Linked DNA regions of Struthio camelus. The protein of the gene in region 1 binds, or shares a complex with, the protein of each later gene. Links are inferred from orthologs where the notes say so. Each region holds a gene or a part of one and is shown on either strand. Other genes may lie near its edges.

Region 1 (14,865 bases):
GAGTAACTTGGAAGCTTCTCTATGAATCAATGCAACAGGACTGAAACAACGGTTTAAACTTTAGGATCCAAAGAGCACTTGTAGAAAGACTGTGAACACAGACTATGCCCAGTGAGACTTTCTACCCATCTGGCACTGAACGGTATGACCTCTCAGTCTCAGCAAGGCCTTCTGTATCAATGATCAATCCTGCCAGGCACTGCGCAGACAGCTCTTCCCTGAACGTCTTGTAATTTAATTTGACCTGATGCACAACACAGCAGTAATGGAAGAGGTGAAGTAAGTGCAGAACTGTTAACAAGACCATGAAGTTATAATACAGTCACTACTGCCGTTTTCACTGCTGCAATGCTCACAGTTCTTTTTAATCAGGCAGAACTTAACCGCTTCAGGCTTGGCCATCAGCAGTCACACAACTTCCCAGAGGCACAAGAGCTCAACAGCTGAGGGCAAAAGAGCAAGCTTATGAACTTGTTCAGAAGATACTCCATGGCTATGCCACAACCTTCAACTCAACCACACAAGAGCACCGAGGTATTCGGAACTGGCGTTACAAAAGGGAGCAGAAGGCAAAGAATTAATTTGACACCAGCAAGCAAAGCAGGAATCGTAATAAAAGCTCTCAAAGGACACTGCTTCGGAGTATAGCACCCAACCAAACGCACCTCCCGAAAGAGAACTGACAGGGGAAGTTCATGGCATCAGCAAAGGGGAAGAAAGAACACATAACACACCACCTCACCCCTTTCAGGCATGAATTCTCAGATAAGCTGTTCTCCTTCACTCTTTCTGAAGAGTCAGACAAGCGATAAGCATTAAACCAAATGGTGGAAGGAAGCACCAGAGCACTCAGCAGCAGTCCCCCTCCATCACATTTGCTTCTTTCACTTCCTTCTGGCTTAAAGCTGACACTCTCCAGACCTGTCTGTGTGCCATTTCTACCAAGGACAGGGGAAGTCTCCCTTGCGCTACTTTGCATTGCTTGACTTGGCGCAGTCACAGGTACACTGACTCGCAGCCTCACACCTGCCCTCTGACATTAAAGAGTCTTGTCATGACAGAAGAAAAAACACGTTATTTTACATCTAAAGATCTGAATATGAACAGCTCAGAAAGGTGATCTTTAAAGGTCAGGACAGATATTGTTTAATTAACCATATAAGCACTATTAGCATCTACTTGAAGACGACTGTAGAAGTTACAGAATACGCAAGAGAAAGGGTAACGTGGAAAGTATGTAAGGGGGGGGGAAAAAAAAAAAGAACTCATCAGCCCAGGAAAAGATACCCAAGCAGAAAATGTAAAGCAAAAAAGCTGCTCTTAGTCACAATTTCCAATACAGAACTGAGGAGAATGTTCTTGAGAACAGGATCCAGCAGAAGGAAGTATTTCTTTACACACAGTGCACCCTCAAACTTATTCAGAGAGAGTATCATGGAGAAAGAGTTCACATGAACTTTTCAGAGACTGACAAATTTACAGAAGAAAGAATCACTATTAAACAAATACCAGGCAAGCAACAGCTCAGAGCCAAGTTCATCGCATCTCTTCTATACTTCCATGCTTCCTGTTAGTCACTATGGCAAATAGTAGGTAGGACCTACCTTTGGTCTTACTCAGTACAGCCATTCTTAACACAGTTCAGGAGTTCTCTTTTCCGGGAGAAGAATTAGGACAAACAAGTAATTTCTTTAATCAGCAGGGCAGGTGGCCAGTGAAGTCAAATCTATGGTCCAGCCCCAGGGGAGGTTATGATTCCTACAATGCTTTAGCTTTAGTACTGCTCTTCCCCATCTCACTGCCCATCCGTATGATTATGAGCTCTTCCCATAGACAGACAGTTAACAGTTATACAAAAGCTTAAAGTCCCAGCGTTACCAGTTCAGAGCAAACGGATTAAAGAGGTTTAAAAGCATTCTTCCAAGGCATCCTAACATCTCTTCCACTACTTCATCAAGCTTGACTAGCCAGAGGAAAAAAGAGAGACAAGCAGAGAGTCAAAGCCATTCGTAAAGGCTCTTTGAAGCCTGACCACAACCTTTTCCTGCCAGTATCACTGAACTAGACTGCCAGATCACATCTTGCCTAGAGTGTTTCAGAGCTACCCCAGTAAAGAAAATACAAACTTTCTTCCAGAAAGCTGTACGTAGCACTCTACAGACTGGTCAACGTGCACATATCCAAATCACCTCAGGATACTCCTGTCACCGAGTGCTCCGACACCCTTTCACTGAAGACTTAAGCAGCCAACACCTTTTTTAAATCCAGCCTTGAATTGCTGTAGCAGCCACAAGCTGATAACAGAGCAGGAAAAGTAGTCTCCGGCGATATTTTGCTGCCTTTCGTCTTAACCTACTCTCAGCTCTTCAAAGCACATTGCTAGAGACAGACAAGTCTGAAGGTCACAAAGTGAGACTTCAGTGCTCTAAGCCAAGACTCACCTAACTTTAGTTAAACACAAGCTGAACAAATCAGTAAGTACAGGTCTCCCTCCACTGACCTGAGGAGACTAAAAGCTGATATGACACAGCACTATTTGCATCAAATACGAACAACCGGATAAGGACAAACAGAAGTAGGGATTACTCCAAGGTAAGCCATGAAGTAGCAAATAGTTTCTTGGAACCTTCCTGAAGGAACCACTACCTTTACACAAATAAGCTGAAGCAGAAGAGAAGCCAAGCCAAGCCAAAGCAAAAAGACCCAACAAGTCAAATTTATAGACAAATATGAAACAAAACTAGCCCTTGGATAACTCAAGTTAAAAGTTTAATCACACCAGAGACAAGAGCAGCCCAACAGCTGATTCTGATCTTGCAAAATCAAAACACCCCCAAAAACACACACCAATACTGTAAAACTGCCAGGCAACTGTTGCTAGTTTCCCTTGATTAAAGGGACAGCAGCTCATTCTTGTCTCTGATGAGGACACAGGGAGAGAGCACAAGCATCTTCCCATCAAAAACAAAGATCTGTGGCAAAAAAAAGAGGAGCATTAAGCATCAACAGGTATGCACAAGCAATTCTAGACAAGCTTAAACTGGTCACCTATCCCTCCCTTTAGCTTTGATCATTTTCAGGAATTTCAACAAAAATGAACTACACAACTCACTCTGTTCTGTTTTCTACTCACTCAACTCCTCTTCAGCAGGGTGCTAAGTCTCTTCAGGAGCCATCACCAATGCTTTTCCTACTTCCTACCAGGAAGGAACTGCTGGGCAGAAAGCACAGTTCTAAGAGTTTGCAACAAGGATTACAACAGCGCACTGATCTGCAACAATACTAACTGAAACAAGAGAAATGAATATAATCATGTCTGATCAGAGCCCCTGAGAGAGTCTGCAGTGTTTTGGCCAGCTCAGCAACATAACCAGAACAGTGTCAGCATGTGGTATAACACTAGGTCACAGCTGAGACTAAACAAACATGATTAAGCCTCTTGAGCAATCAGGTGACTGACAAATATCAGGAAACAAGTCTTTTCGCATAGAAAAAGAGAATAGGACCAATACAAAGGACCAGTTTAAAAAAAACACACAAAACAAAACACATGCACACATCTGTGAAGGATCAGTAGTTTGCCATACAGCAACTAACCTCAGAACTACAAAGCCCACCCAAGCACAGAGATACCTTGATTCCCAAAATGAAGAACTCTAGGTTCAAATTGAGGATTCTAAAGTCCTTGCCACAACTTTAAGAGTCTCCACCCTTTTAATATAGGCTATTTGTAGAGCTCTTCGTGAGACAGGAGTTCAGTAGGGCTGTTACCAACAGGATACAAGTAAGATGATGCTAGCTAGCTAGCTGAGACTTCAGAAGCTATCCATACAGCTTCACCAGAAGTCAGTAATTTGGCTCTGCAATCCTGTGTAAGCAGGGAAACCAACTGACTGAAATCAAATTTCAGCCTTACTTAGTAGTCAACAGCCACATTCTCCCAGCTACTCTCCTCTCAGCTTTGCTGGAAGCTGATTAAAAGGAGTAAAACAAACTTAACAATGAGCACATTTCTCTAAGCAGTGTCTCATCCAGCTCTTAGGAGAAGATACTTGTGCTTTCTTTTAAAGAAAAAAAAACAAACTGCTAAACTTCTGGAAAACATCTTTCCTCATAAGCTACAAGAGAGTCTGGAATTATATCCACTGAAGTCAACTACTTCATATAATCTCTTCATATAACCTAGAAATCAGAGTTAGTGTCTGTCTAAACTTAAGATAGTTAATAGCTGAAAACAACCATGAGCAAGCCTTCCTAAAGGACAGTTTGAACTCACAGAAATACCAGGCAGGCCTTACATCAAAAGGCTCCAGGGCAGGAGGGAAAGGCTGTATTCCTCAGCCACCTAGAAAACACCAGACCCAAAAAGCTCCTTAAGATGTGCCCAAAGCATCAGGTACAGCTTAAGTACTAAAGGGGAGTTGAGTTTTGCATTCATACATTAAGGACTAAATGCAAGATGTATCACACTGCTATGTGCAAGTTCTCCTGTGATATTTGACAGAAGGGCCCAGAAAAGTGTGCAGCATCTTAGAGAATGAAAAATATACAGGCTCAGTCTGCAATGCAATGTTTAAAGTTTCAGCCATGAAGTCTCCAAATATAACAAACGGCCTATTATTTTCAAGTGAGATTAAAAAAAAACACACACAGAACTTGTTTGGTGCTCACACTTCACTAACGACCGAGAATAAACTGTCTGATGGTAGCTAAGATAGCTGGGGCAAGAGCTCAACCCAGAGAAACTGCACCCATTCTCTATCACTCAGCAGTACTGCCCTTACCAGCCAGAGGGGACTCACCAGTGCTGCTTGATCAAAGCATTCAAAAGCTTCAGGGCTAAGTGAGCGAGGAAGTTACTGCTTATATTTCCAGAAATGCACTGTACAGAAAGCAAGGGGCATCACAGTACTACTGGCTTTAAACCTGAAATAAGTTAAGGTGTTGCAACTCTGTAAGTTGCAAGCTGCCTGGCTGCAATGAAAAGACCGTTTGAGTAGAGTGACTTCAGCAGAAAGCAGTCTAGACTTCCCTTTAACCCTTCCTTCACTTCCCTAAGCAATCATTTCTTTTTTTAATTTTTAAAAATAGTTTAGGGGTATTCCAACTTTTAAGTCCCAGAGCTTATTTGTTCATTTTAAGCCTGAGAAGCACACACTTCATGCACTAACTTAACCGAACAGTTTAGCTTCCTCTCTGCCCACACAGCTTACTCCAGGTGCCTCTTCTGGTTCATCACTAGGAATACAAGTCATTAGGCAAGATTAATCCAGTCTCTCTTCCAGGCCCACCACCTTTTCTGGAAGGCAACATCACACGTTTTACAAGAGGGAGTAAAGAAACAACATCACAGCTCTCGACTAAACAGCACACTAAGGAGGTAACACAGAACAGCTGAAACACATCCTAGAGCATGATTACTCACAGCCTCTCCCCCAACCCTCCTATCACAAGCACCGCTGCAGATTATTCATCAGCACCTAACCTTTAAGACCCTCATCACCTGAGTTACACCAGCAACGCCACAGCCCAGACGTTAACTAAAGCAGGCAGCTGTGAAGGCAGCCCTCCCCCCCACCCCCCCGGGGCGGACCGGGCCGCTCCAGGCCGAGCTGGGCAGGCGGCCCTGCCCCTGGCACCCGACCCCGCTCAGGAGCCCCCAGGTTTCAGGGCCGAGACGAGGAGGTGCGTTAAGGCCCGGGGGGGGGGGGGAAGGGGGAACGGGACCTGCCGAGGAAGCAGCGCGGCCCTGTGGCAGCCCCAGACACCCCCCGCCGCCTGCCCGGGCGGGCCCGGCCCAGGCCGCCTCCCCGGAGGGCTCCGCTCTGGCCCCGGCCCGCGCTCCCCCCCCCCCCGGCTGCTCTCCCGGAGGGGGGGCGGGGCGGGAAGAGGCACCGGGCGCGGCCCCGCTCACCGGCCGGCGCGGACGAGGCGCCGCGCTCGCAGGCGCCTCCGCCCGCCGCGCTCTTATCCGCCCTGCGGCTGCCCCGCCGCGCGTCGCCCGCGCGCACTTCCGGCGCGGCGGCGCCGCGCGGCCCCCTGGGGCTTGTAGTTCCCGCCGCGGCCGCGCTGCCTCCTGGGAGCTGTAGTTCGCGGGCCGGCGCGGCCATGGCGGAGGAGGGCGAGAAGAAGGCCGTGCTGGAGGTGGTGAGTGCCGCGGCGGGCGGCGGCGGCGGCGGCTCGGGGCTGGCCGGGGCCGGGGCCGGGGCAGGTCGGAGGGGTCGCTCCCGCCGCGCAGGGAGGCAGGGGCGCTCGGCCAGGGGCGCTCGGCCAGGGGCGCTCGGCCAGGGGCGCTCGGCCAGGGGCGGGCGGGCCCCGCCGTGTGGCGGCCTGCGTCGTTTGACTTGCGCGCCTTGCGGTGCTGCTGTTTGAGGCTCCCTTTACTGCCCTGTAGCGAGCAGCGGCGGTGTCGCGTTAACGAGCTGGCCGAGAAGAGGCCAGGACTGGCGTTTTACAAAAGCAGCCTTGTTTGTCGGAGGTGGCTCGCTACGCGTTTGCGACCGCCAGGCCTCGGCTGGCTGTGCAGGCGCTGGCAGCGGGCCCCATCTGCTCGCTTGCACCCGTCCCGGGGTCGCTGGCCGGAGTTTGCTCCCTCCCTCCCTCCCTCCCTCCTTCCTTCCTTCCTTCCTTCCTCTCTGGTACCCGTTGCAGGCAGTGAAAGGCGCTAGATGGCACCACACTTCGCGCTAGCGGGGTTTGAGGCACCAAGCTGGCAGATGACAGCACGCGTGGCTACGGGGAGAGCTGCCACAGGATGGTCTGCTCTTCTGCGCGCCAGCCTCTCAGTCAAAAACAGGGGGAGCTGAGGACCGGGGCAGCTGTACAGCAGAAACAAATGGGCTCTTTTAAGTTTGTCTGGTTTTACAAGCTCCCTTCGGGGAGGACCTAGCACAACAGGTTTTCATAGTCTCTCAATCTGGGGGCTCCAAAACTATTCCTGATGCCGTGGCCTACCCTACAGAAGGAACTCCAGTCTCTAGGCAATAGTTGGGGTTTGTTTGTTTGTTTGTTTGTTTTACTTTCCGTTTTCAGGTTTTGCATGACCAAACTCTTGCCCCTGGTGTGTGCAAGCCGCGGGTTGAAAGCTGCTGTTGCAAGGAAGCCCGATCCTGCAAGTCTCACGTGATGAATGAAATGGAGGTTTGAAGCGCTGCAGTTATGAGAGAGGCCCTTGGCAGCAAACCAGGCTCTCAGAGGGAGGAATGCAGTACCGTAAAAAACCAGGAGAAGGCGTAGAGACTGTTATTGGTTCATACAGACTGAACCAGCAGAAGACTGTATATTCTAGCATAAAAGACAAATTATGCGTAAACAGCAGTTAGGATAGGAACAAGTGACTTGTAGGAACAAGTGACTTGCAGGAAGGGAACAGTCCTACTTCATATCCGATCCTGATCCCATATAGCTCAGTGCTGTGCTAATATATACACCACTGCAGTACCTAGGCACCAAATTCAATGCTAAATAATTCATCGTCATAAATCACAGCCTCCCTAAGCAGGAGAACTTTCTGAGGATGAGAGACTGTGGCTGAGGAGGTTGTCTGAGGCGTGGGTGGCCAGGCCTCCAGGGCTGTATCCTGACCTTGCTGGGAGGGTATACCTTGGATAACCTTGGGCTTTTCCATCTCTGCGGTCCGTGAAACATTTTAATTTGATCAGTCCTGCGTTTCAGATCCCAAAAGCTGCTTTGTGATCTCGTCAGTTCTTCCTTCTTCCTGTACCATAATACAAGAACAACTTGGTAATATTATTGGCAAGTCAGCATGTAACCAAAGACAAAAGACTCCAGAAGAGCAAAATTCTCTATCCCACAGGAGTCAGGGCTTTCTTCCAGGTTGGTTCGTAGGAGAAGGAGTTTTCATGTGATGGGTAGTTTGGTACATAAACACCTCCTGGGTGAGATGTGTAAGAACTCCCTGAAAAATCTCAGCTTTCTGCCTCCAGCTGCAGGCTTGATTGGTGCCGGGACCAGAAAGGACTCCATCCTTCAGGAGGCGTGTTCTCAGAGGGAAGGTGGCTGTTTTCCTCTGAAGCATCAGATAGCATCTATGCTATCATCATAACATGACTAGGTGGGCCAATAGCTTGATAAGAAAGGAAGCTTACATTCTGGCTGAGATCCAGAATTGTGTCAGAGGACTCTTCACAGGAAAGAGGAGAGAGAAATCAAATCTCTTGTGAAGCGAACTTGTTCAACACAGAGTATTTCTTTCAGCTGCCTGAAACAGCCGTGCTCTGGCTTTTGTCTACCCGATCAATGCAGTGGGTGCGCAGATTGCAGTAAGCAGGCAGAGAAAGCTAAACTCATGGTAGCGTCTTGCATGGTGGATCGACTTCTGCATCTCTGCCACATGTTGCTTCTCTTAAGCACTTGCTGCAGACTCATAAGTTAATGCAGCAATTGTACCAGAGATATGTCCTGTCCTGTTTCTCACCTTCCCGTGCAGATGTTTTTCTTCAACTCTGCGAATGAGTCTGAAGTCAGTGCAACTTCTAGTGCTGTATGTTAAAGTCCCAGTCATCCTGTTTTTCATCCTATCTTTTTTATACAACACTGTAACTCAACTGTAAACGTTTGATCTCAGCCTGGAAAAGCATCTCTTGGCTCTTGCCTGTACATCTGTTTGTTGTGTTTGTTCCCCTTTTTGTCCAGGGGAAGAGTCTAATAGGTGAAGCCTTGATGCAGGATTCAGGAAATCTAACTGCAGCATCAGACTTTGTCACTGAGACTGACTCTGAGCAAACTGTTGAATCACCCAGTGCCTCAGTTTCCCATCTGTAGGATGGCGCTACTGTCCTTTTCTCCTCCGTGCTCTGACTACAGTGGGCAGGTAGAAGTGCTGTGTGGATTGCTCGCTCCACAGGACTTTTTAGCCCAAAGGCAGGATAATGCAAGTACAGCTGCCTTGTTTGGGTCCATATGCAGTACAGCTGTATTTATGCAGTGCTGAGTTCATTACTGCAGATCGTGCCTGTTGTCATTAGAAGTGGAGGTGCTGGAGAGGACTGTATGAAGACACCGGAGCAGTTCCGGGCAGGGCCAGGGTTGTGTCTGAGCTAAGGAGTATGCGACAGTTGCGTGCTCGGGCTTCTCACCCATCCTATGCCCAAACTGCAAGCGTGTCACTGTCCCAGTGAACAGAAATGTACCTGTCTTGGGGGGGTGAGGGACACTTGTGATTTTGGCACGTGCCCAGGCACACTTCTAATCCTGGGATGGGGTGCAGGAAGCAAACTGTGGACCATGTGACCTGTCCTGGCAGGCAGGTGACTCCTGAGTTAGTCTGTTCTTGTATGAGCCTTTAGCCTTTGGAAGAAAACAAGCTTTTAAGTACGATTGGTGATATTAATCTTAATAAATGTATTCTTGGAAAAGCCTTACAGGAGGGTAGACTAAGGCCAGCAGCTGGTTCTGGGAAGAAGGAGGGAGGTGTTGAGTCTAGCAACTGGAAGAGCTTGCAAGGTGTCTCATCCATGCCACTGACTGCCCAAATGGCCTTTGGCAAGTCACTTATACGCTGTCTTTCCGCACCAAGGGAAAGTGTTTTTGCTACTACCTTATTTTCCCTGTCAGTAAGACTTAGTGCTTTGATCGTGGGAATGGATTGCAAGATGCTGGGAGATGACAGAGACCATATCAGTCCAGCGTCTTCGTTGTCATCGTAACATTGCTGCATCACATCTACCCTTCTGTGAGATCTGGTGCTTCGGGAGCCTGCCCTTGAGTTGTGCTGCAGGCCTGGGTGAACTCTCCTCCTCGGAAATCAGTCTGCATCCCCCCTTCTGAAATGCTGAGTCAATTCCTTGTGGGGGTTGTACCTGCAGAAGGAGGAATGGGACTGCTGTGCAGTGTTGCTACACAGCAGGAAATGTGAGGGGTTATAAAACTCCTGGAGCGGTTGAGGATTTGGCTGCGGGCAGGATGTAAAGAGTTCAGCACTCGTCTGGGCCTGGCTCCACACTTAACCTTGAAACCTCTCGATGCTGCTGAGAGAGGAAATGGTTGGGGGCTGTCGGGCCATGTCAGGCTCCACGGTGGCTGTGCTGAGCCTGCGGAAAGGTCAGAGGATCTTCAGCCCTCTGACAGCAGAACAATTAATTAAGTGACTTATTGGTTTTGGAGGGGATCCCAAACGAGCCTGCTTAGGAAGTGCTAGCTGGCAGTGCTGTTTGCAAGCACTTGAGCCAAAAGCAGCAGGAGGATCAGAGGTTGACTTCTGGCTGCAGGCATTGCTGGGTTCATTTTGTGTGCGGTTCAGCACCCTTGAGGCTTGCTGGTAGGTGCCTGAAGTCTCAAAGGCTCCCCAGGCACATCCTAAGCGTATGAATTAGGACTTGCACATAGCAACTTGTGGCAAAGTTTCCTTTGTTTTCAAGCTGAGATGAGATTTCTCTGCTGACAAGCAGTGCCCCCCCCTCCCCCCGCCCCTTGAGTTTTTTTGATTGTCCCTCTCATTCATGTCTAGCCACCTGCTAATGATGAGACCTGGCAACACATCAACCTGAACAGTTGGTCCCACCCACTTTGCATCATGGATCCTGAAGGCAGGCCGGCTACAGACTTTATTTGGGCTCTTCTCCTCTGCCTTGAAGAAGAAGGATGCAAAGGCACTTTGATATCGAGGGAAGTGTTTGCCTCGACTCTGTAATTTTGCACCTTTCCCTCTGCTGTGGAACTGCTCTTCCCTCTGCTGCTCACACTGCAGCATCTGAGATGTGAGCTGTGGAGATGGCCCAGAAAGACCTGCAAAGTCCTCCCTCATATCAGCTGAGCTGGGGTTTCTCTTGGCCCTGGGACCAGCCTCTGCCGCTCTGAATGACCCCAAACACATTTCTAATGAAGTGCCGTCATAAGTAGGTTCTTTTTGGATGTTCTCTCCCTCTTACATTTTTTTAGGAAGTTTGCCTTGCCTTGTGTGGTGGTATTTCTGTGTTGGGATAGCTTTTAGAGCTTACAGGGCTCTAGGTACAGTTTAAGAGCATTCCTGATTCTTCCCTGAGAGACTGTCCTTGTGGGGGCATCACCCAGCTGGATCCTTAAGAGACTTCTGACACTCTCTGATTGTAGGTACTTGTTTTTTGTTAAATTGTACTTTTAAGACTCCGTGCATCGAAAGTACATTACTTGTCTGCAGGTAGTTAGCCATGTATGACCTGGGCTCACACACAGAGTTCCCTAGAAGCAGGCCCTGCATAGAGAGCCCTGTTTCAGGAAACAGCACTGACTATCATTTTCTCAGCCCCTGCTCACGTAACTGATGCAGCTCAATTAGTTGGACACAGTAATTTATTCTTCACTGTAGGCTTGACCTTCATTACCTCTGAAAGTACCTTACAGCATCTCTTCTTCCCCAATTTGCGGCAGGTCCAGGCAGATGGGACAGATGGAAACTGTGTCACATTTGTGTTGCATGATGAGGATCACACACTTGGCAACTCCCTCCGATACATGGTCATGAAGAAGTAAGTGAAGTCCCTGTGGTGTCCCGCATCGCTGAGCGTCCCTCTCTCTCTTACCCTGGCCTTCTCCTTACTGACCCGCCTCTTAATTTTTGCTAGAGCAAGGCATATGCTCAGAAACTACCTCAATTCACATCTTTTAGGTTCTTTACATTAGGCATGCGATGTCAAAGGTCCTCACAGGGCCTGATCCTGGTCTGTGGACTGACTTCCCAGCTTGACCTCAGACCTATCTCAACCCCGTGAACTTGCCTGATGCCCTGGGCTCCAGGCTGCCCCCAGCTGCCATCTCCAGGCTTGCCCCACTCACTTGCTGTGGGGTGGTGGGATGGGGGGGCCCTGACTGGTGAGGCCCCTGCCCTGCCAGCTGTGTTACCAAGTGTGGCTCCTTGTCCCTTAGGGAGCAGCCAGCCCTCATTACTCTCTAGCAGTTAATTATGGAGGAAATTTAACATGTGATGTGCAAAAGTCTTCTGAAAGTCTTTGGCCGTTGGTAAAATGATGCCCAAATCCATGCAAGTGCATGTGGTCAGAGAGTACCTCTCTCTCTTCCTGGGACGTGTCCCTTCAGAAGTGAGGGTGGGAGTAGCTAGTATTAAGCAAATTGGTAATCTTTCATGCCCGCTTGGAGACACATTGCTGATACTGGGAATTATTTGGTTGACTTCATCAAAATATACAAATAGGGTCACACTGGTCGTGCAGTTTTATTGAATTGGGCAGCACTGAGGGTTTGTGAAGAGTTCCTTGTAACCCTCAGAAGAATTAGAGCAGGGAGTTGAATCCATCATCTCAAATGACAGCTATATTGCAAATGTCATGTGAATTCCTCGGATAAATCATCATGATGAGAAAAGCAGCAAACTCTTTGCAAGGGGCTGTTCTCTCTGCTAAAAACACAGATGTTCTCCCAAGTGGAGCCACCTCTTGGTAGAGGCAGATGCCATGCAGCCTGCAAACCATCTCAGTAAATCCTTGCAGCGCCCTAGTCCCTTCAACCGCTTTTGCCCTGCAGAAGTACAACAAATTGTTGTACGGGGAAGTTTCCAAGCAGCCAGGATCCCTGGTTTTACCTTTTCAGGCCTGCTGCTGTGCAGTGTCCGGGTAGTACCTAGAAGAGTGCCAGCTCTGTCCTTCCCCTGCAAAGCTCCAGCCACAGCTTAGAGAGGGATGAGGAATGTGAATAAGACTGCATAGGTAGTTTCCCTTCTGTGTACCCCTCCCATAAGACCCCTTTGCTTTAGAAACATCTTGAGACCCAGCGGGTTTGCTAGCTGTTGGCGTTGCTTGTGCCTCTGACTTCCCTGAGATTTGCTGTGAACTTGCCTGGGCTTCACTGCTGTCTTTCTCTCTCTCCTCTCCTGCAGCCCGGATGTGGAGTTCTGTGGTTACTGCATCACTCACCCCTCTGAAAGCAAGATTAACTTCCGGATCCAGACTAGGGGTATGGGCACATGCATTGCCTTTTTGTCTGGGGTACTTTTGTGAGATTCCCCCCCGCTCATGTCCGGGCTCAACCATGGGTTGTAAAAAAGGAAGGAAAGCACTCTTCTCCTCCTCTACTGAGCCGTTATGCTACAGTTTTTGTGTTACCTGGCCGTAAAGTTGAGTAGTGTTCTGCCCGCTGAGGATTGAGGAACGCATGGCTTTGCTTGGTCCCAGGCACTGAACTGTAGTGCAGGGGTGGAGTAGGTCTGCCACTCACAGTCAGAGGTGATGGGCGCTCCATGTCCCCCTAAATAAGCTTGGGATTTGGAAAGCAAAGCCAAGGTGTGCTGACTTACTTAGCTGCTATCGCAAACCCACACCTCATGAGAGAGTTTGTTTCTGCTTCTCCCTTCAAGTCATCCTGTAGCTTTGGCCATCAGGCTGTGACCTGAGGCTCTTTCGAAAAGCCTCATCAGTCCGTGCTCTTCCACAAACTTGCCTCTCAAAGAGGACTTTGTCCCCTGATAATAGATTCCATGGACACCTCTGAGTCTCTTGCAGATCCTCATTCCTCTCAGCACACCAACCCCTCCAGTGTAGTCCCCTTCCTCATCCAGTGCCTTCCACTCTGGCTGTGTGGAATCAGCAGCTTTCTCTGCTGCCTAGAGAGATGCCCATGTGCCATGAGGCTGTTTCCTTGAGCATCAGGTATATAAGAGACCAGTTCCTAGAAGCAAGTAGCTAGATTGTGTTCACTGACTTTTAAAAATAGTCAGTACTTTGACTGTTGGCCTTGCCAAAGGAGCCCTTTCCCCATGTGAACTAACTGTGGGAAAAGTTTCTGCTGTCCCTGGGCCATAGGCTGGACCATCACGCTGTGCTCAGTTCTGAGGCTGCTGATGGTGATCTGGGAGGGGAGAAGTGCATGGGCAAATATCTCGGTGCTGGCATGAGGGCCCCTCACTGTCGTGGGGCTGCCCCTTTGCACTGCCACTATGTATCGGGGAAGAGGGCTGCCAACCCCTTCTGCAGCCACTGCCCATTTCACTAATGCATCTTATTTCCTGAAGGGGCCCTTCCTGCCATTGAGCCATTCCGAAAAGGGCTGAACGACCTGATGGGTGTTTGCCAGCACGTGCTCAACACCTTTGAGGTGAGACTATTGCCTGAAGAGCTCGGAAGCCTTTTTAACATACACTGTTAACATTTATCCTTTGCTCTTGTTTGCAGAGGAGCATGAGGGAATACAGGGCCCAGAGGGAGGAAGAGATGCAGTAGCATCTGGAGATGGCAGTCCCCCATGGATAATGTGTGTAGTGTGTGCGTGTTGAATTCCCCATGTCAAGAGTTTTTTGTTGTTTTTTTTATGACCGCTTTGAAGCAAACTTGTATTTCCTCTAATAATAAAATTTGAAGTGTGATCCTGCAGAGGTGTGACTGTGTTCAGCTCAACACAGGTACAGAAAGAGATAGGCAGGAGGCAGTTCCTCATCTTTCACTGTTCTATCTTATGTCTCGCCCTCCCCAAATGTTGTTGCCATTTCCTGCCCAGCATTTTCAGACCCGTATATGGTGTGGCAGTCTAGTGCACAGAATTCAGTTCAGTAACATCAGGCTTTTAGAGAGGCAGCACCCTCTTTTGATTTAAATCTTTTTGTTGCTGGCCCCGATACAGTTGACTTGAACAGGTATGGCCGGTGTTCATATTTAAACAGGTCACTATAAAATGATACTCTGCTCGTTTGGGGGTGAGGTGAGTAAAAAGCCACTGCCCTTTTTTAACCTCAAAAAATGCAGACATATGCAAGCCCAGAGCACTCCCGGTGAGCAGGTCCAAAGAGTACAACATTGAAACCCTGGTCTTACTTGGATTTGCTGGCAACTCGCCGAGTAAAAGCCTTTTATTAAGTGTAATGTGGCATGAAATTGCAGGAGTATCTGCTCTGCACCAGCCATGGGAGTGTGAACCTTTCCA
Region 2 (14,747 bases), on another chromosome or scaffold:
TTGCCAGCCATGTCCTCCATGACACCTTCCTCTGACCTGGTTCAGAAGGTGAGAGGATAACCAGCCATAGCCAAGAGTGAGTTATCTGGGGGCTCTGCTCTCCCACTTGCACAAAAAAACAAGTCATTAAAGAGAAAAAAAAACTTTAAAAGAAATTTTAATGCTGTAAAAGTCTTAAAGGTTAATAACGTATCGGATAGAGGCAGTGCTCTAGTGATGACGGGTCAGATACTCAAGTCTCTTGCTACCCTTACACACAATTGTGGTCCAGACCCTAGGGGCTGCATGGCAGCCAGTCTGTAATAAGAGGAAATACCAAGTGGAAGGGGGGGGGAAAAAAAAAAACAATAATCAAACCATAGCCTGGAGAAGCACAAGTGCAGTGGGGTGGAACACCCAATGAGCTTACCTCATCCACCTCCCTCTTGCTGGAATCAAAGGTGATATTGAAGAGCACTTTCAGGATCTCCATCGCTCGCTCTGTCTCCTGCCGAGGCAAAGGTGGGAGAAGTCCCTCCTCGGCGGCAACTTCATACGGGTCCATCCACTTCACACCGAGGGTCAGCTCCAGGGTATCTGTCATCAGGCTGATGCCCCTGAGCTCTTGGGCTAGCTGCTGCCGGATATCCACTCTGAGCGCTGTCAGCAGGAACAGGAGACGCAGGTCAAAGAACTTGACTTCGTGGGGAAGGCTCCTCTCGTTGTACAATTTGATGCGCTTGGCCAGGCCAACCGCCAGCCGGGCTTCAGCTGTCAGCTCCTGTGCCCTAGGGCTGCTGAAGACAATGTTGCAGAGACATTTGAGGGATTCTAGGATCACATCCAAGTCTGGGACCTCTCGGATGAGCTCCTCTGAGTAATCAATGCCAGCATGCCTGGAGAGAGTCTTCAGGCCTTCCTTGGTGGTGAAAGGGTCAAGGCAGTATTTGTCTCGGGACAGGATACGGATGCTTTCCAAACATGTGACCTGGCAGGATGGCTGGAGCTCTCTTTCCAAGAACTCGATCAGCAGCTGGGCCATTTTCTGTGCAGAGGGAAACAAGTAATGCCTCACGCACGGACAGTTAACAGTGCTCCCCCACACACAGAAATACTGCCCTGTAATGCTCTGTCTTGGAAGAGGTGAACATCATCTAGAAACAGGCCTGCTACACAGCTCAGATTCAGATATGAGTTTTGGCAGAACTCAGGAGTGGTTGGCTCTGGCACCTGATCCTCACCCAGTTCAAGAAAGGATGCCCAGCACGAGACAAAATGGCTGGCAGAGGGTATCAAATGTAATAGGAGAGTACAAACAGGCAACTAGTTCTGACCAAGTGAACTACTGGTCCCTCCGCTGAGCCAGAGGAACTGACCGTATCGCTTCTTGCAAACACTACCTATTTCAGTGTCATCCACGGTTATGATGGTTTAGGCTAATAGTTTACTTGACAGCTGCAATAAACTAAGAGAGGGCAGGGTGAAAAAGGGTCTTACCCTTGGCTTCAATGAGGAGCAACAACCAAGTCAGTAGCAGCAGTCTAAGGCTCTGCACCCAAAGCTCTAAGATTAGGGAGGTGTCTGCTTTGGGTGCTCCAGAAACAGACTGACAAGTTTGAGAGACAGATCAGAAAACTGTTGAGGGAGGGAAAAAGGACCTAACTGGATTGAGAAGAGTGGGGAACGCCCTAGGAAAGGAGGTGAAAAGACCTCAGAAGATTTAAATAAAAAATACCGCCCTAATTCTCAGGGCTGCCTGGAGACCCAGATCCTCAGAAGGTATAGGCTGGCAGAGCTCCAGTAGCACTGGTTTACAATGCCTGAAGATCTAATCTTTCTGAATTAATGGTATCTTATGTGACAGCAAGCAGTGGCAGAGTCCAAGAACAAAGCTAATGCTTCACATAGCCAGGTGCATCTTGGTTATGTACAATAATACTCCACGTTACACTAGTAACTGTTCGTTACCCGTTGCGTAACGACTCATACCATGGTGAGGCAAGATTTCACTAGATCTCTCTAAGACAATACCATGTAAGAGCACACATTTTCCCATACATATTACAAGAGGAATCAAAACACCAGTGATTACAGGGTTTGCTATAGCTCAGTGTAATTGGCTTAATACAGCCTAATCAAAGATATTTCATAATAATAAAAAGACTGAGGACAGGAATGAAGGAACTGTACATTTTAGTTCTTAGCATGAGGCTTAATATGAGAACTGAACGAGCTTTACCCCCTTTGCACCCTTGCCACAAACTCATTTTCTCTTTCCAGCAGTCTTCATCCAGAAAACTTTGCCTGCACGAGTGAAGCGTGTCTCACAATCACACCCTGGAGAAGGGAGAAAGTACAGCCATTCCTCTTCTCCTTCCATATGAGGAGACTGAAGCAGAGGAGTTAAAAAATATATATTCATAAGTGACCAAGGCCTCTGACTGAGTCAGGTTAAGACTTCAGAGCGTGTGCCCAGGTCTAAACCTTCAGAAGAACTGATCACCAGGAATAAGATGTGATGCTCAATAGATATCTCGTGGGACACACCCAAAAAGTGAAGTACCCAAGGCTGTCTGAACTGACAGCCTATCGGGCTCTCCTAGTTCAAACAGGAAGTCACTAACGAAGCAAAGGGCTCACATCTTCTCAGACCCAGTCCCTCGCTTCAGGCTGTAGTTGGAAAAACTTCACGTAGCATTAGCTGGCATTGGCACTGACAGAAGAGGTCCCTTTCTCCACCCCAGTTGCCTGGTTCATGCCTACTCCTGCTCCACTGCTGTGCTAACACAAGCATTAGTGCAACCAACCAATAAAATGGACCACAAAACTAATCCAGCTGGAAAATAACCCAGGCCAAAAAAATAAATAAATAAATTACTCTTTAGCCAGATCAGCCCACCGAACACGTTCAGTGTACAGCCATGCAAAGGCCTGCCCTGGCATGAGAGAGGACCCGCTGCAAGAATGAACATGCCCAGCCAGGAGTATTTCTCTCCTCTGAGTGCCAGATTATGCTATCTTAAAGTGTTTGTCAGTCTACAGCCTTAGCCATACGCTGCAGCTAACTCGCAGAGAAAGCACTTACCTGCTAGAGGCTTGCATGCTGCTATAATCTTTGCCTAGGGCACTCATACCATTTAGGCGAACACTTTTCATATACCTATGGCTGAGACTATGTGCAGCACTGAACCTAGAAGGGTCATTAAGGCTGGGAAGACGCTGCCCTTTATCCTAAAGCATCATGTGCTGATGGAAAAGCTGAGGCCAGATGCTTTGCGCACACCATTCCCTAGCCAAGTACTTCCCCAAGTCTGAAAAAAGCACTGACTTCTTTGCCTCTGGAATTCACTACCACCAAGCCGTGCTGCACTCAAGTATGGAGCAGCAGCAGATTTACCCACCCAATTACAGGAAGAAATCAAAGAGCATGCTTACCTTCCTGTCTTCCCGCTCCTCATCATCAAAGGTGAAGCACTGATATTTCTGTGGGGACAGAAGAGGTGGTGGGGGAAAAAAAAATTAAGCTCCAGCAATAGGTTAAAAACCTGCAGAACTGTTGAGCCCCCATCAGGAAAGGGTCACTCAGCTGGTAAGCAGCAGGTCTAAAACACTGGCAAAAGCAAGCACATCTTTTCAAGGACGGTCCTTACCAGTGGAGTGGCAGAGAATCAGCATGGCAAGGAGAGCCAGAGCATTTACAGGGGTCTAAGATATTCACAGGATGGTAGCAAGCAGTGGAAGTTCCTGAGAAATCAGACAGGACAACTTTCCTGCCACCGAGGTTTGAACTTGCTTGCTGTTTTTTCTCTCCAAGATCATCCTTCTTTAAGCAACTCAAAACTACGTGCTTCAGAATTAGCAGGGATGAATCTGGGTTGAATTGCACAGATATCGGCCATACCGTGAGGTCTGAAATGCTTTCATTGACCAAGATCCCCGTTATTCTGGAGGTCCCTGCCTCTCATTCATCTCCAGAAAACATTTGTGATGAATATTAACTGTTACACTTTCTTACTGGCTCTACAGTGGAGGCCTGAATGCCACGGGCCGAAGCTGTGCCCATCCGACTGACGGATTTATTTTTAAATACTGCAGGAGGAAAGTAGGTATTCATCGCAATCCAAATATACTGCAGTATTTTATCATTCCTCTGCTCAGTGTCACAACAGCACATCCCAAGCTGTGCCAATACATTTTTTCCCCTTGATATTTATTGTTCCATTTCCTTACGGAAAGGAAGTACTGCCTCTTGTTATTTGCAAACAGATCCTTGTGTTCTTCATTCCCACAGTGTCTGGAAGTACAACTGTTTTTCAGCTCATGTTCTTTACACACAACTGATTAGCAAAGGTAAACACCCTTCTCCACATGGCGTCTCACAGGGTGCGCTTTACTGCCCTGCATTACTTTGCATCAGTACTTGAACTTGCACTTGCACTTGAACTCCACAAAACGTTGCATAAATATCCCCCACCAACTTGGGCGGCACTGCGGGGTGGGGAGGTAAACAAGTTCATCTGAAGTCTGCAGTTTCTTTCACGCAGCTCTCAATAAGCCAGGCTTCACAACAAGTACTGCAAAGAACGTATTGCTAACAGCAGGCATACAGAACAGCTCACTCCATCCTATTCACCTTTCTGCTTCTGCGAGCACTTCTGCCAGAGAGGTCCACAGATCAACCGTGCGGTGTAGGAGCTTTTCCTTTCACCAATGTGTTGTCTCACAAGTCACAGACAAGGACCGTTAGATTAGTCAGTCCGATCTCCTGCATAAGACGGTCCCAGAACTTTACCCATTATGGTCTTCTGGGAGAAGAAGCGTAAGGAGGGTCAATATTTATATAGCTAGACAGAGGTTTGCGGATGTCATTATCTCCATCATTTTCTTAACGCTCCCCATCACCTCTTTTGCCAAGTTACATTGCACAGATGCATTTACGAAGCTGTTCAATAAAGACAATTAGTCTTACCACAAACAATCATTCTTATAACCTGGACTAATTCTTCTCCTGAGTGATTGCAGTTCACCGAGATCCCATCCGTATGTCTGAATAGCTCAGCTTGTCTCCTACGGTATGTATCACCTTATGGTTCTCCTGCCCATGAGCTGCTCAGTTGTCCAACTGTATCTCATTCCCTGCTCACTGCAGTCAGTGATCGTCTGCACTGAGCTTTTGGAAATCACACGTGTTCCTTGTTAGCCTTGACTCATTCACTCTGCAAGCATAATCTCCTCTGTTGTTCACTGCCTTTTACACACAGGGCCAGCTCCTGGCTACTTGTAAGTAGACGATACAGTTTGCAGATCAACAGCGTCACAGTTACTAAGATCCCTGGGACAGCTTTGGCTTTTTTGGCCTAGAACAAAGAAGGATGGATACAGTGATGCAGACATGCCAGCTAAGAAACCTCGGTGCAGAAGCAGGACATCTGAATTCCTGTAAGCGCTGTGCCAGGGGCTGGCCTTCCATGCTTTAGCGCTGTGAGTTGGTACGCACACAGGCTGTAGCACCACATTACAAGGAACTGGCAGTTCAGTCCTCGAACCGGTGTGCTCTGAAGACAGCGCCATGTCACTTGTTCTTTTCCTTTCCCATCACATCTTTTTTGCAAGTTCCTGTCATCTCATTCGTATGGGTTGCTGCAATACCTGTGGTTTTGCTTCAGTTGGAGTATCCTCCCGTATTTCATTCCTGGCAACCAAGAATCGACCGTATCTATAATAGCAAACTGCATTCCAAAAACATGCCCAGGAAGTGATACCTTACTATCAGTTTTTGCAGTGAAAACTCATGTAGAGAAGTTGCTTAGTTTATTTGTAGTTTCCTATCCTCTTTGACTGCTCCATTTCTTCTAGACCGACTAGCAAAATCACTGACATTCTCACAAGTTTCCTACGCTTGATACACCGACAAAGGATCCAGCTGGAGGAATTCTACCAAGAACGTCTTAAATTTGACACATTAAACTCCCTCTTTGCTCTCCTGATTTCTTCAGCATTACGTCCACTGTAGGTGACTGTAATCCTGCTGACCGTCTTTCTAGTGGGGACCTTCTGCTTCTTAGTTCAGATTTCCAATGTTTCGAAAGTGACTGCTGGGAATAGTTGCACATTTTCCCCGTGCACACTTGTGCACAATACTTGCAGTTTTTCCCTGCTTGCTTCCCACCTGCTTAAGAACAGTGCAGAATGAGTCATGTAGATCTGCAGGGCCAGCCCTATCCTGGTGGAAATGCTCTAAGAGATATTTCCCTGACAGCTAGAGTCTATTTCAAAAGGGAACTACCCCCACAGATCATCTTTGCTGCTTTAAGGCTAGGAACACTTCCATTTCTGCTTCCTAGCCGTTCTTTTCATATCCTATATTCATTTTTTATCCTTTTCTTATTGTTAGCTTTCAGATCAGGCACCTGTACCTAATTCCAGCAGTCCATCCATGTCCACCGCTGGTGATCTTTTGCTTGCAAATCACAGCCACTATTTCACCTGCAGCTCCTCCCTGGGCCTCAGTTCTATTACCTCCAAACCTTGCTTTAACCTAAAAGCTCCTCCTACTTCATATTCATGCTGATGTTTATTTCCCTACCATGCTTTACTTGTGCTCCGGATAATAAAAAATGCTTTCTATGTGCTTTAATTCCAGTACACCAAGGAAATAAGACGAAGAGATGCTGCTTAGCTGTTCCTTACCAAAACACGAAATACAAAACCGTCTGCAAACAAAAGATGAAGCGGTCTACAACATTTTTACGGCAGTAATGCAGAGACAGATGCGCTTAGAGGAGACAGACGGGGGACCGCCGGATGGCACAGAAATCCCACAACATGGCCAACCTGCTTCTAGGCTCACAAACAGAAGCAGCTGACGTCAGGCAGAGGTTTGGTGCTCACTCACCTCCTGGTTGTAGACCTGAAGCACCTTGAGAACTGTGTCTTGCTCCCCGCTTTCCACCGTGGCTACCACAGTCCTCAGCTCCATTATCTCACCAGCTCAGCTGCTGATGGAGGCGAAACAGGCAGGAAGGGGAGCGAGGGCACTTCCAGAGCTCCTGGACAACGCTGATGCGAAGGGACCTTGATACACAGAGAACCGAGGGAGTGAGAAAGGGGTGGGGGAAAGGAAGGAGGGAAGGGGGGAGAAGAAAATCCACACACAAAACAAAACCCCCAAAACACAAGTGGGATCGCTCACTCCGCTGCGTCCATAAAAGCAGAGCAGATAAGATAACGCAAGCAGAACCAGGCGCTAGCTCCCTCTCCCTCTAATCCTGTCTTCTTCTCTTTGCCTCCCAACATTTAACATCTGCCCTCCCAGCACAGCACTCAGGAAAACCTTCCCCCCACCCAGCCAGAGGATTAACATAGAACAGATAACAGCAGCTCCCTGAAATAGCTCTCTGCCTCCTCCTCCTCTGGCTGTCCTGATTTCTGTTACTGCCCAGGAGCAGGGGGGAGGGAAAAAAAAAAAAAAAACAGACTCCTGTGGAGTAAAAAGGGATGGAGAGGAAAGCAAGGCAGAGAGGCAAATACCATCCTGGCTCACTTAAGACTGCCTTTTAAGGTGGTGAAAAAGGTAGAAATCATTAGGATTTTTGCCGAACCTGTTGAAGGGGATAACCCCGTGCACCGGGGCCCTCGGTGCCTGCGTTTTGGAAAGATCAGGGCAGACACACCGCGTACGCCTCGAAACCACACATCCGGATGACGGCTGGCCTGCTTGAGACCCTCAGCAGACAAGGTCCTTCACGGTAAGGGCGTGAACGAGCAGATGCGGGTCTACAAGCGTGAGCCAGGACAGATGCTGTGTCTCCGGCGCTGCGCTTCCCTGCGGCTTTGGGGGCAGAAAAAGCAAGAGCGGGCTGCAGCACTTCTCATTTTTGCTTCACTCCCCCCCCTCCCCTCCTTCCTCGTTTAAGTTCCCTCCGCGCCATTCCTGCGCCCGCCGAGGCCCCTCCGAGCCCTTCCCCTCCCTCCCTGCCTCCGCGGGAGCCGGCGGCGGCGAGCGGAGCGCAGTTACCTGCCCCTGCGGACCCGTCCCTGCCCCGCCGCCCCCGGCGGGCTTCGCGGGTGAACCGCGGCGCCTGGCCCGGGGCTGGGCGGGCGGCCTCCGCCTCTCGGGGCGCTACGTGAGGCCAAAGGGAAGCCGCGCCTCCATTTCTCCCCTCCCCGTCCCCGGGTTTTCTCTCACAAGTTCACTCGGGGAGAGGGCGGAGCGGGGGGGGACACCGCGAGCGCCCCAACGCCGGCGCCGAGGAGGAAGAGGAAGGAGCCTGCGTCGCGCTCTCCCCCCCCCCCCCCCCCCCGCCAAAACGGCGGCGGTGGCGGCGGCGGCCATTTTGTAGAGGCGGGGGGCCGGCGGGGCTCCGCCTGCGAGGCGGGCCCGCACCGCCGCCTCCCGCCGGGGCCGGGCGCCGTCATGGCGGAGTGGGGCCGAGGTGAGGGGGAAGAGGGGAACGGGCCAAGCCGGGCCGGGTTGGAGGTTCCCTTCTGCCCGCTGCCCTGTGGGGTGCGGCGCGCTGCCACCGCCGCCATTTGGGGGATCGCCGCCGTCGCCGCCATTTGGGGGATCGCCGCCTCGGGGCCCGCGGGGGACGGCGCGGCGCGGGGTGACAGCGTCGGTAGCGCCTCCCCCCCCCACCGGCGACTGCTTGTGGCCCCCCGAAATGCTGGCGGAAAGGGTCGCGCTTCTCGCCGGCCCTTGCGGGGATGCCGGCGGGGCTGCCTGGGCAATGACGAGGGGAGGTGTTGGGGGACAGAAAAACCAGCGAAGCCCAGAAGCGCTTTTACAGCCTGACCCCGCTGCAGGGAAGGGTAAAAAAAAAAAAAAAAAACAAACTGGCCTTTTCCTTCCTTTAGCCAAAGTAGCGTTCTGTGGAGATGCGCCCTGTCGCTGGTGCATGGGACAACGCGCGTCCCCCAAGCGAGGGCGTTGAGGGCTACTGGCGCGCCTCCGCGCTTTTTTAGAGCTACTTTTGGCGGCTAAAGCCCCCCGGCACGTTTCAGGATTTCTTTCCCGAGGGCTCTGGCCCTTCCTTTCGGTGGAAGAGCTTGGGGGGGGAGGGAGGGCGTTTCATGGCGGTCGCCATCCGTCCCCTGCGCCGTGGGATGCGGGAAGCGCGAAGGCGGCTGAAACGGCCCGTCCGGAGCGCCGCAGCGACCCGTCCCACAGCGAACTCGCTCTCCTCCTGGGGCGAGCGAACATGCTGCCACTTGTAAGTGGGACCGATAAAACCCTTTCTCTTTTTGTGCCAGGTCAGAGTCCGAGCACCGTGGAGGATATGTTAGATGCCGAGAACAAGCGTATGGCAGACAGTCTAGCCAGCAAGGTCACCAGGCTGAAATCGGTGAGTTGCTGAGTTCGCATCCGGGGCTGCGGTAAATGAAGTTTACCTGGGCTTCAGTTGCCTGCGTTGTTCGTCTTCCTCACAGCGCCTTGTGGGAGACGCAAACCTCTGGCCGATACAGAGGGCTTCCTCTTTATAAGCAGCTCTTAAGAGAATGTTGTAGTGGATCTAATAGTCAACTTTCCCTAGTGAAAAGCGGCATCAGGTAAGGCGTTTTAGGCACAGAGAGAAACCTGAGAGATGCACAGAGGAGTGTTGCTAAGTGCATCTCCTCTGGAAGAAAAGTCACAATAAAATGACAAGCTACTTTTGAAAAATACCCAGGTATGTACGCATGTGGTGTTCTAAAAGTTAGTTTGCCCCTGCTAACGTCAAGTACTTTGATTTAGAACTTAGTGTAAATCAGTGATTAGTATTATAGCAGGTAGGACTGATTTCTGCTGTTGTGAATATTTAAATGCTTGTGTCATATATATGAAGCTTCTGTCTGATAGTAATGCTTTACTTCCAGTGCTATAGAGCAAAATCATTTAAACAGTCATCAACGGAAATGAGAATCCTGTTCTGTCATTGTACCAAACAAGGCTCTGTAACTCTATACAGGAGGCAGGGGGAGGTGGTGGCTTGCTCTTCTATTTGCGTTTCAAATTTTTCCAGCTTTGGATGCGCTAGAGGTGGTCTCCATGTTAAAAGTTCATTAATACCTGTTTCCTCCCTCATCCTGTATAGCTGGCTCTGGATATTGACAAAGATGCTGATGAACAAAACCATTACCTGGATGGCATGGTAAGAAAGCAATGAAACGTAAAAACCATGGTTTTTTTGGGGGGGCTAGCTCTCAAGCAGTTACCTTATTTGTGAAAGTTAATAGCAGTTCAGTAAAGGAGAAAAAGTTAGATTTTCCCGTTGGCAAGCCACATAATTCAACTAAACCCGCTTACTGTGGGTTTATTGATAAATAAACATTAGCTGCTCATACCGCTTTGAATGGGCAGCATAGCCAGGTATCTAGCATCTGGAAACACCCACGTAGGACAGTGTACTCCAGCAATACAGATGGAGATTACCTACTTACTGGGATTAAAGACCTGCCTCCTGTAGCTAATACTGGGAGATGGGCCTATTCCTCGGTTACTTCTGTGATTTTTGGTAATGTTGTATAAATCTGTCAGGATTACTCACTGTAATCTCTGAAACACAGAATAGCTGTCAGGGTTCACTGATGTCTTTGGAAGGAGCAAGGCTCGCGCTCAGAGTGCAATCAGGTTGTTAGGTTCCCTGTTCTGTTATCATTCTGCTTTAATTTCTAGAGGTAACATAAACATCGCATGCACAATGGCTGATAAAACCAAAGTCACTTTCCGGAGTAATCTGCCTCTTAAGCTTTGGTTGCTGATGGAGAATCCCCGTGCTGTGGGGAAAGGCCAGGATGACCGATTACTATATTAGTGCCTAGAAAATATATTATCATTTAAGGTCAGAAAACAAGGTAAGGTTTCTCTTGCCTCTAGATTTTCCCTATCAAATTAAATATTCCTATATTTAGGTCGCACTGTTAGTTTCTGCAGCGTTACCTAAATTGAAATACCTTAAAAAGTTATGTAGCACTTGCAGAGGAAAGACTTGTAGCAGAGGCAGTAGCAGAGGGCTTACCTGCTGAGGCTTTTTGGGAGAAACATAACTCATTAACTGAACTGTGAGAGGAAGGGAATCCCACACAGCTATTTGAGAAGAAGGTTAGCACAGTAACACTGCTGCTTTGAGAGACTTTTCTGCACATGCTGCATTTTTGACAACTGGTAGGTGGACTGGAGAGAAGATAATTGTGGCATTGAAGCCAATTGAGTCAAAGATGTGAGCTCAGCTGGAATCTTAATAGCAGCACACAGTGACAGTGTTGCAGTATCTGAAATGGATACTTAACTCAGCCAGGAAATTAAGGCGACTGGAGAATCAAAGTAAAAGATGTTATGGCAAAGAGCTTAAAGGAGAAGTCCTAAATAAACATGAAATTATGCTTCTGTTAGGGGAGCTTTTCAAAGATTTCGGGAGAAACATGAGTAGAAGCTACAAATAATGCATGAATAAGGAAAGCAGGCCAGGAGTCAAAATTAAAATGACTGAACTGCATTAATTTGACAGTTGTTTGCCGGTATCTGACAAAAAGTTTTACATGCATGCCATCCCATTCTAAAGAAAAAGTAGAACTAAGGGAAATGAATTGCACCTTCTTCTCTACTTCTGAGCTAGTCCCAACATGCTATGAATCGACGTTAACTTCATGGAGAGACATTTCCTTCGGATTAAGTGTTCACTTGTAGAGTTGCCATTAACAAGCTGTTCCAGGCAGAATAAGCTGCACAGGTGCAATTAAACAGTGCAGTAAGAGATGATTTTACAACAGTTTAAAACATGTTAGGAAACTTTTTTTGCATTTGGAGTAGAACTTTTCCTATCCCTCTTGTGTGACTGGTTTGAGCACTGTGGGAATGGTGCTGTTGCTGGAGTCCGAGCACAGGAGTGAAAGAACTTTCTGAGAGAAACATGATTGTGGGTGTGGGGAGATAGGCAGTTACTGTGCAGCTACCTATTCAAATGTTTTTCAATCACTAAGGGAAGTTCTTCAGGAATAGCCTTTCTTGTTTATAATGTCTCCATTTTGCCTTTCTTTCTTCTTCAGGATTCAGATTTTATGAGTGTGACCGGCCTGCTGACTGGCAGCGTGAAGCGTTTCTCCACCATGACGCGGTCAGGGAGGGACAATCGCAAGTTACTCTGTTACGTTTCTGCAGGACTGATTGTTGTCTTCTTCATCCTCTACTATCTCGTGTCGAAAGCAGGGACTTGAGCATGGTTTTCATGCCAGGAATTTTACAGACCAAAAATCATGTGACGATTGATGGACTTATTCAAAGCCCTTTGCAGTCTGCCCTGTTGTGGAGTTTTTGAGGCATTCCAAACAGTCCAAATAACTTTTCTGTTCCTCAGCTTACTGTCATTGATCTGACTGGTCTTGGACATCTCTTTGTAAAATGAGTATGTTTCAATCTAAACTGATTTTCACATGTAAAATGATTTTGATGTTGTTAATGCTTAAGCCTTCATCTCTTGCCTTGTTGCCCGTGTCCTTCAGCCTATTTTCAAAGGCTGCTTTTGTGTTACCCACATTACTGATATTCCCTACTAGGCTTGTGAAGAGTTATGTCAGACACAATTCAGAGATTTGTCAGTGCTCCGAAGTTTAATAAACGAGCAGAAGTCCAGAAGCTGCAGAGTTGAGGATGCTGATTTATGAGATTTGGAGGTATGAACTTGAGACTTATATTCCAGCTTAGCCACTCGGCTCATGCACGGGCTCAGTTTCACCTTGACTTGGAGGCACATTAATATCATTGGTGTCACTGGGCTGGAATTAAGTTCGTACAGCTTTGAAATTCAACCAGCGGTAGATCTGGACCCTGATACACTATAATTGTTGCAGTGACGAGTTGCAGAGGAGCAAGACTTTACCTGAGTGATAGCTTGGCTTTATTATCCTTCTAGGTGAAGTTGAGGGTAGACACTGCAGGAAAAGAAGGGCCAAAGTCCTTAAGTTGCTGTTATTTGCACACGTATAATGTTTTTCCACACGCTTGAAAATACACTCCCGTAGACTGCTAAGGCTGTATGAAAGTTCCCATATCAACTTCCCCTCCAGTCGTCTTAAGATCATTTGCTTCAGGCCTCATGCAGTTTATTGTCGTTATTACAGTATCCCTGTACTACAGCCCTTTGGAAAGACACTGCGCAAATAAAAATAGAGGTTGTGGACAAGTTAAACTGCATCTTGTTGAGGTGATGGTTGGAGGACAGGGAAGGATTTGACCTGAGGGTTGGTGGATGTATTTATTTAAGTAGATGGTAACCTAAGAAACTCTAACTTGCTGTGCTGTCCGTTGTGCTTCTGGGATTCCTGCCTGAAATGTTTGTGGGAGATGTGTGGGAAAGCACATCCATACGAGTTTTGTTTATAAAGCAGTCGTTCCCAATGAACATGCAGTGCATGCCAGATTTCCTCTCCTGAAGCAGGGCACGTAACTCTTATGTCTCAGAAGGCTGAGAGTATCGCACCTGGAAACTCCAACTTCCCTTCACCCTCCTTTCCTTTCAGTGGGCCGATCAGCCTCTCACTTACGACACTACCCCATATGCATTCTTCCGTAGCGGAGTTATTTAAGTCTATCTCTAATTATAGCGAAAGATCTGTAACTTTTAAAATACTAGGCCTGTTGGAAGAAGAAACAAACAAAACCCACCTCTTTCTCTTTTCAGAGGAAGCCCTCGCTACCTATTATATAAACCTTTTACTATACAAAGCAGCTGTACAAAGGTACTGTGTTTCATATAGTCTCTTTTCTGTACCACGTGCTGATGTGATCTGGTTTTCCTTGTTGGAATTCTTTGCTTATTTTGTTCTCTCATCCTCCTGTAACGACTACCTCTCCAGGACTAAAGACTTCCTCCTCTTTTACAATCTTTTTTTCTAACAAGTGTTTATTCATCAGTCCCTGTATGTTTCATTTGGCCTTGACATTGTATCTGTAGGAATTCCTTTCTGCTTGGGCTAAACTGGGTCTAGATCTAAACAGACTGTGCTGTCCTTTGCTTAAACTGTATCAGACTTTTAACAGAGTACTTTCATAATTTGATTGTGTGTCGTCTTCCCAAGTTTGGGGAAGAAGGGGCAGTGAAGGTGAGTAGGAAAGGAGGCAGCAACGACTTTCTCTGGTTTTTGTTTCTGCTTCTCTGGTAAGATGCGGCAGTTCCAAACTCTTTTTGCACTTGGAAGAATGATGAATCGCTTGGGTGAATCGCTGGACTCTTGTTTCGATTTTCTGAAGTGGATCACTTCTGCTGAGAGACCTCTGAAACAGCCTGGTCTTCATAGTAGTGGCGGTTTCGGTTTGCTTTTTATGTTCTAAATAAAAATATGTTTTTAGAATAGTCTGGCCAGGTGTTTTTTTTTTTTTCCTCTTGCGCTTATGTCTTAGCAAGATTAAAAACCAAGATCAGATCATTCTGTTATATTTAAATTGTACAGAACCTGCTGCCTCAGAGCCAAATGTAATTGTTATCTTAAGAAACAGTGTACGTGCAATGAACTATACAGAGATCTGACGAAAGCTGCACTAGCTCAGAAGTAGCCAGTCATTCATTAGCACTGTACAACCTTGTTTAAGCCTCCGAAACTTACAGTGGCAGTTACAATTAGAATCTTGCACACCATTAAATGTTCTAAGGACATGCACTATCCAAGAAAAGTATGAGTTTAGAAATGACAAAATTCAGATTTAAAAAAAAAATACTCACAAACAGAGCAATTAAACGCTCACAGCAGAACTCCTGTCCAGTATTCTATGTCAATCACAAACCTCCAGTATAGAT

The links.
Region 2: VAMP7 (region 1) and BET1L share a complex: the UniProt entries of both Homo sapiens proteins name them as parts of the SNARE complex. The link is inferred for Struthio camelus from reciprocal best matches to the Homo sapiens genes VAMP7 and BET1L.

What each region holds. Positions count from the first base shown.
Region 1 is NC_090952.1:3,656,728-3,671,592, forward strand, and holds the start of VAMP7 (vesicle-associated membrane protein 7), read right to left. Parts: upstream 6,038-14,865; 5' UTR 5,915-6,037; intron 5,300-5,914; exon of another isoform or gene 5,214-5,299; intron 4,975-5,213; exon of another isoform or gene 4,803-4,974; intron 4,346-4,802; exon of another isoform or gene 4,277-4,345; intron 3,215-4,276; exon of another isoform or gene 3,113-3,214; intron 1,653-3,112; exon of another isoform or gene 1,605-1,652; intron 1-1,604. Other genes in the region: DNA-directed RNA polymerases I and III subunit RPAC2, read left to right, coding at 6,109-6,147, 7,033-7,140, 11,368-11,465, 12,830-12,906, 13,961-14,043, 14,121-14,168. UniProt on the Homo sapiens protein: Involved in the targeting and/or fusion of transport vesicles to their target membrane during transport of proteins from the early endosome to the lysosome. Required for heterotypic fusion of late endosomes with lysosomes and homotypic lysosomal fusion.
Region 2 is NC_090946.1:7,682,055-7,696,801, reverse strand, and holds BET1L (BET1-like protein), read left to right. Parts: upstream 1-8,449; 5' UTR 8,450-8,642; coding exon 8,643-8,790; intron 8,791-9,231; coding exon 9,232-9,323; intron 9,324-10,052; coding exon 10,053-10,109; intron 10,110-12,003; coding exon 12,004-12,171; 3' UTR 12,172-14,309; downstream 14,310-14,747. Other genes in the region: RIC8A (synembryn-A), read right to left, coding at 410-1,024, 3,415-3,462, 6,875-6,958. UniProt on the Homo sapiens protein: Vesicle SNARE required for targeting and fusion of retrograde transport vesicles with the Golgi complex. Required for the integrity of the Golgi complex.